Linked DNA regions of Drosophila melanogaster. The protein of the gene in region 1 interacts with the protein of each later gene in a pairwise test. Each region holds a gene or a part of one and is shown on either strand. Other genes may lie near its edges.

Region 1 (3,652 bases):
ATGCAACTCCTCGAGTGGCTAATGCACTTGCAAAAGACTTCAATTGAAAATTTTCATTTACACCAGGCTGGCCGGTCATTCAATGGATATGAATCGGTTTTATATAAGACTCCAAAATGAATATTTCTTCTGAATAATGCCTCCGTTCATTGATTCCAAAAACGTAATTGAATTCACAATGGCTGTGTGTCTGTGTGTGTCAGTTTGCCTGCAGGCGGCATATTCTTCAGTATTAGAAGTGGAAAAATTGTCGAAATCAAAATCGCACAGCATAATGCTACGAGTATAATGCCATATAGCTAAACTCGAGCCCAAATTATGTCGATTCTGCGCTGCATCAGCACTATCTCCGATTGCAGCAGCGAATTGAGCGGCTTTTAGCTTTGGATTTGGCATATGGCCTGATGTCCAATTTCTGATGGCTTTACTTTTGCTTTTGCCTTTGCTTTTGGGCTGACTGACTAAGCCTAAGCTTTTGTTTTGGCAATCAAAAGGAGCTTATTTCATGGAACTGCACATGCCACACACATTACACTGCTCGAAATGCCAGATTAAGCGGGAAAACTATATACATAGTTGGAATGTAATGAAACATCATCGCCAACTTTGGGTACACAGTGCTTATTAATGGGTAATTTCCGATAAGTAATGCATTTAATCTTAATTTATTTTTATAAACAATACTTGTTTTTTTTTTTTTTAACTACTGAAAATACTTTAATAATTTGTCAGTTAGTTTTTGAATAAAATACAGTTGCAAATAATATTTACCACAGCCATCGTTTTATTAATGAATAGGTAATGAACAGGTAAGTGGAATTTTCTTCCAGTGTAAGCACTTGATCCGACTCTGATTGCAACACCAATCGGCTGTCCCAGCTGTGCCACCACTCAGCTCCACAGCTGCACTGACGACGATCCAATCCGATGGGTGCGAAGATCATCTGCGTGGCTCGTGGAAGATGCCAGGTGAGCCGGGAGTTCGCCTTGAACCATTGACATTACTTGAGGCGCATTTTATTTACGCCCAGCATGATTAACTGATTAACTGACTGACTGACTAATTGACTAACTAACTGACTAACTGACTGACTGCCTGGCTGTTGGCCAGTTGGCTACTTGGCTACTTGTCCACTGGCCATTGCATAATGCATCATGCTAATAGGGAGCGGCACCGGGGGATCGAAGATCGAAGGCGCGACTTCCTGTAGACTTCGGTAGCGCCGGCAATTGTTACAATGATTTACGACCATGCCACGTTGGCAGCTATAAATTGCTAAATGGCCATTACAGCATTAATTACACGACCGACCAAGAGTTGTGAGTCGAATCGAAATTGAAATTGACCTTTTGCCCCGCCCAGACTGCCGGTCTGCAGAATGAGTTATTATCTTGTAATTGTCACTTACCAGCGGTGTGCAGATATGTTTCTTCGATCTCGATCTGGATCGGAGTATGCAAATTGGAAGCCAGAACCACTCGATGTCCATGTAACCAGCGATGTCGGTTGGAATTAAATTACATTGCTGTCGACATGACAAAGTGTGCGAATACTTAACTAACGAAACAAAGGAAATCCACCAACTGGTTACAATACATAACGAAAGGAATCATTAATGTGATTTATGAACATGTTGCCTCATTGAATCAGAGAAAAATAGAAATTATCATCGCAGTTTTATCTAAACTATTATTAAATGCAGACAGGCCATAAACCATCCGTTTGTTGAGTGTCTCTGGGGAATTCCTATTACTCAACCTTAAGAATCATCAAAATATAGAGGAAATTGTTTACAATCATTTCGTTTCCGATCTTGCAAGTCATAAACATCAAATTAATACAATAATGCATTTAACAAAAATCGTATGAAATAAATCGAACAATTTTTGCTATATAATCCCAATATATCGATTGTTATAGAAAATATCCCTTTTTTTTCGGTCCAAGCTGTCATATTTTTTGACCACTTTCAACACTTAGTTTGTGGCCAAGTCAGTTTTGGCAGGTGGAAAATAGTTGGCACTCGACTTGGCTGGAAACACACCCCGTTGTGAGTCGGCAACCACCACCATGAGCGCCAGCGAAGGCATCAGTCTCCCGGGCAACGAGGAAACCACTCCGCCGCATGAAAAACATAAACAAAAGGCCAAGAAGGCCAAAAAGAAGTCCCGGAGTGCCAAAGAAAGTGTTCCCAATGCAATGGACGCGAAAGCCACTGCCAGCTACTTTAGTTTGAGCATCGTGGGCCAAATAGTCTCGGCCACCTTTCCCCTGGGTCCCGACAAGGAGTTCGTCTTCCTGCGCTACGAAATGGTCGCTGGTCCCGACTGGCAGCTGTCCTCCGGACCCCAGCACGGACTCACCCAGCTGGCCACCAATAGAAGGGGCCATTTCAACGAACCGATTGTCTTCAATATGCCCATCGAGGTGACCTACAAGAGCACCAGTCCATATGGCTGTGAGTAATAGTACAGAATCGATTAGTTTACTATATTCTTTCTCAGCTCAGCTATTAACAATTTTTCGAATCAGATTGAAGTTACACCAACAAGATCTCCAATTCTTTTGGTTTCCAGGGCCACAGATCCTGGTGACCGTGTTCGGACGCAGTGGCCTGGGCAGGGAGACACTACTCGGTTACGCTCACATCCACCTGCCCGTTTTCGGCAGTCGTCGTCCAGCGGATCAGACGGAGCAGCTGCAGGCGCCCATCCTGATGCCCAAGTGCCCCAACATGATGGCGGACATCACCAGTTGGCTGCTGCGCCGCGAGCCGGAGCTGAAGGACCCCAAAGTGCTGCTGGACAACCTGAAGTGCAAGGGACTCTCTATGGAGTCGTACGGCAGCCTACAGTTTCAGCTGTCCTCCGTGATGAGGGGCGCCCGCAAGCTGGGCTACCATTGGCACTCCTGAGAGAGAGAGTCGAGTCCAGAGTGTGTTAGTAAAACGTGAACTTGAGGAAGCAGGAAAGCGTTTGTCTTAATCTAATTGCCGGGTGGGTGGTACCTCAAACTTGACCTTGTCCGTTGTGGCGGCTAAGACGATTTCAAAATGACGCGACTGCTGCTAATCCAACGCAGCAAACGAGCGGCAATCGAAAGCCCAATTCGAACGGTTAGCTTTGGATTGGCCAAGTGCCGGCTAATTGGATTAGGGCAATTAGTCTAAGACGCGTTGTACACAAGTGGCCATATAAAGACCAGACGACCATGGTCCGCCCCAGGCATTGCCGCCGAGTTCGCGTCCCGAGAGTCAGCCGTCCTGCTATGGACAGCGAGTAGTCGCCGCAGCAGAGTAGCCAGCCATCCAAGTTTAGACGAAGCCACCACCGAAGCGCCACCAGTACCAGCCATTCGAAATGGCCAGCCTGCATCCCCCGAGCTTCGCCTATATGCGCGATGGGCGCAATCTCAGCCTGGCGGAGAGTGTGCCCGCCGAGATTATGCACATGGTGGATCCGTACTGGTACCAGTGGCCTCCATTGGAGCCCATGTGGTTCGGCATCATTGGCTTTGTGATTGCCATTCTGGGCACCATGTCGCTGGCGGGCAACTTCATTGTGATGTACATCTTTACCTCGTCGAAGGGACTGCGCACGCCGTCCAACATGTTTGTGGTCAATCTGGCCTTCTCCGACTTCATGATGATGT
Region 2 (3,857 bases), on another chromosome or scaffold:
AAGATTCGATTCTCCTACGAAACCTATCCGTTGACCTCCATGTACTCGTCCCGTCAGGTGCTCCTTGTGTCGGAAATTGAAATAAGAGATAGGTTGCGCTCCTCGGACATTAACAAGTTTCTGTACCATCCGACGGGCAACAATTTATCCCATAAGCCGGACGAGAACATGGTCATAGTGAAGGCTCTGAATGTGCGTCCGAATCCGCAAAAGAGCTCCGCGGAAGAGTGCTCCCTGAGGGTCTCCATTTTGCCCATAAAACTCAACATTGACCAGGATACTCTGCTCTTTCTCGAGGACTTCTTTTCGGGCATGTTCCGAAACTCCGCTAGTGCTGCTGGTGGCACCAAAACGGAGGGCAGCAGTTCGTCGGCCACGGATATGCCGGTGATGTCGGTGAGCAAAATGCCGGAGGAGTTATCCGATAAATTGCCCGATTCGGAAGTTAAGGAGATGGTGGAGAGGAACCTGAATGTGCTGATTGAAGAGAACAGCTTGGATGTGGAGTTGGAGGAGGATCCTGCCACGGCTCCACCTGTGTTCTTCCGCGAGGTGATCTTCAGTCCAGCACTACCCATTTGCTTTGACTATCATGGACGGCGGATTGAACTCTCCCGCGGACCGGTCACCGGCCTAATCATGGGTCTTGCCCAGCTGCAGGGATCCGGAATTAATTTGAGGGAAATTGTGAACCGCAGAGGCATTCTGGGATGGAACAAACTGTGCGAGTTCCTGGCCAAGGAGTGGCTGAAGGACATCAAGCGGAATCAATTGCCCAATATCCTAAGCGGGATTGGACCCACGAATGCGGTGCTGCAGCTTTTCCAGGGTATCTACGATCTTTTCCGGCTGCCCATCGAGCAGTACAACAAGGATGGACGAATTATCAGGGGATTCCAGTTGGGTGCCCAGAGTTTCACCGCTCGCACAGCGCTGGCTGCCTTGGAGATCACCTCCAGGATTATACACCTGCTGCAATTCACGGCGGAGACTACCTTCGATATGCTATCTGCAGGTCCTTCCATGAAGAAGCGGAAGGGCGGCAGGCAGGGCAAACGGAGGCGACAGGGACGACCCAAGGACCTGCGCGAGGGCGTGGCCAACGCCTATACCATAGTGAGAGAGGGCATCAACGAATCGGCCAACACACTCATCGAAGCCGCCATCACGGAGCACGACCAGAAGGGCTACAGCGGAGCGGTGGGCGCGGTGGTACGCCAGATCCCTCAGCTGGTCGTCTGCCCGGCGGTGCTGGCCACCCAGGCCACCACCAACATCCTGGGCGGCGCCAAGAGCTCGCTGATTCCGGAGGCCAAACTGGAGGCGCGCGACAAGTGGAAGCAGGAGATCCACTAGGCAACTGCTTCACAGATCGACTAGGTTAACGGTAGCTATAGTTCACGGGGCTTACAGCATAACGCAATGTTTTCTATTGTTTTACTAATAATAAATAATGTACATAAAAGGAGCACTTGCACGAGACGGCGAGGTGACGAGGGATTTGGGATCCCGAACGGTGATTCCGACATGGGTGTGATTGAACTTATCCTTTTTAGCCATATTACAGTACATGAGAGTTATATTTTTTATTATTTTACCTGAATAAATATATATATATATAAAAGAAAAAGATGACGTATTTCTTCATGGTGCTGCTAAAAGTTTAAGAACGGATACTATTCTAGCAAAATTTAACCGAACTACCAGAATTTATTAAACCCTCAGCTAAAAATGAAGTACAAATAAAAACAACTAGCAGTTTACAAAATGATTTAAAAAGACGTTACTTTTATTTGTATGCTTCTCTGTGAATGGCAAGTTTCTGTAAACAGCTGATTGCTTGCTATTCGGCGCGAATGAATGTTCGTTGGCGCATGGTTTACGTAAAAGCCGCATAAATCGCTGGAAATATTAGTTAAAATTAGGTATCTAAGCTTAAAATTAAACATAAAACCATGTCCAGTGCGCTGACTCGCCTGTTGGAGCGCCTGCCACTGAAAAAACAGACGGCGCAAAGCGGTATTCGTGTTTTTTCCAACCAGGAGCAGCGGCAAGAAATTGAGGATGATGAAGGTAAACAATTAAGTTTCCCTGGCTTACACGTTTTATAATGGATATATCTTCCTGATCGGCCAGAATTCCGAGTGCTCAGCCTGCGGACGGTGAAGCAGCAGATGCAGAAGCGCCAGCAGGTCCGTCGGGATCCCATCACACCGCCGCGCACTGGCCGCATGGCGGTGGATCAGGACTGGACGGCCGTTTGGCCAGGACCACGTTCGTTCCACCCGGCCAGTGTGCCTCTGCCACTGCGGCAGGGATTCACGGAACGCGGAGCAGCAGCTCCGTCGAAGTTCGCCAATGCAGAGCTGATGAAGATACCCAACTTTCTGCACTTGACACCGCCGGCCATCCGTCAGCAATGCGAAGCCATCAAGAAGTTCTGCACGCCATGGCCAAAGGGTCTGGAGACAGAGGCCAAGTGGCAGCGCCACTTCCCCCTGGAGGTCACCACCACAGACTACTGCCAGAGTTTGCCCACGATCAGGAATCCGGAGGCCAGGCGCGTCACCATTACCCTGAAGCTCTCTGACCTGAAGTTCGATGCGCACGCCAGGGATAAGTTCCTGCGCCTGGTGGGCGATCGCTACAACAAGGACACGGACCTCGTTACCTTCGTCACGGATCGCTGTCCGCAGAAGAAGCAGAACTACGACTACGCCCTGTATCTGCTCACCGCTTGCTATCACGAATCCTTTGTCACCGAGCCGTGGGAGGCCACCAAATCGGAGGCCGACATGGAGGTCTATCTGTTCGAGCGTAACCAGTCGAAGGTCTCCGCCGAGGGAATCCTCAACTGGAACGCCAAGAAGGGTGCTCCAAAAGTGGTTCCCAGCAAGTCATTCGCTGAATGCGTGGAGAAACTGATAAACGAAGGCGAAAACGAGTACAACTTGGGCAAATACAAGGAGGAGGTCAAGAAGATGTTGAACATTGCCTAGGAAACTGGATAGTTGAGTGAACCAATAAAGCGAGAAGTTGTTAAAAAATAATCATAACAAGTATTTGAATGTTACAATATTTATCTTGTTAATAATTTTGAATTGAAACTGGGCAACCATGTAATCCCCCTTTACGACGCCCCTCCTTCGTTGTGAATGTCCGAACAGCTGTTTACAATGAAGGCGTGCCCGTGTGAATGGCATTAGAACAGCGCCAAGAACAGAACCAAAAAAACCGAATTTCCGCGGACGTGGAAGCAAACTTTTGTTTTGCTATGCTAATTAGTATTTTAGTAGTTAATAAGTTTATTCAACCCCGTTTGGATGGAGCTTTGAGTAGAATACAGTCGTAGAGAGGTGAGAACAAACTCCTGATAAGAATTCACCTGCTGATGACGTTTCACCTGATTAAAATTATAAAATCCGGAATTATAAACAAAGTTAGTCGCTGAAGTGTTTCTAAGTTATAGTACATTCATTGACATATGTCTGCGATAAGGTAACTATCCAGCGGATGTTCCTTCAGCGCAGTTAAATATCATTTCTATTATCTTAACTTTCGTATTGGTGAAAATGACTCGCCGCTTATCTTGTATTTTTTGTATGTGCGACCCAAAAAGATACATATGTGCTTACGTTTCTGAATTTTTCTACTTTTCTACTATTCTCTTTCACCCACAGACCACGTTGCAGTGCCGCCAGATAAAGAGACAAGCCAGCAAACATCCGCAGCACCTGAGCTAACAAACCAATATCACCATTACCGCGAGATATACTTCACCGACATTAATGGTTGACGTAGAGACCCGTAGAGCGCACACGTAGCCACGGATATCCGGCAAAGATGCGGCGACCCAA

Evidence for each region.
Region 2: the proteins of B9d1 (region 1) and mRpS35 interact in a two-hybrid assay, tested with the Drosophila melanogaster proteins (one large-scale study listed by BioGRID).

Annotation. Positions count from the first base shown.
Region 1 is NT_033777.3:15,479,936-15,483,587, forward strand, and holds B9d1 (B9d1), read left to right. Parts: upstream 1-1,970; 5' UTR 1,971-2,071; coding exon 2,072-2,459; intron 2,460-2,577; coding exon 2,578-2,915; 3' UTR 2,916-2,969; downstream 2,970-3,652. UniProt on the Drosophila melanogaster protein: Probable component of the tectonic-like complex (also named MKS complex), a complex localized at the transition zone of primary cilia. Required for ciliary structure and function.
Region 2 is NT_037436.4:2,779,058-2,782,914, forward strand, and holds mRpS35 (mitochondrial ribosomal protein S35), read left to right. Parts: upstream 1-1,841; 5' UTR 1,842-1,955; coding exon 1,956-2,073; intron 2,074-2,136; coding exon 2,137-2,999; 3' UTR 3,000-3,048; downstream 3,049-3,857. Other genes in the region: Atg2 (Autophagy-related 2), read left to right, coding at 1-1,356; Pgant6 (polypeptide N-Acetylgalactosaminyltransferase 6), read left to right, coding at 3,844-3,857.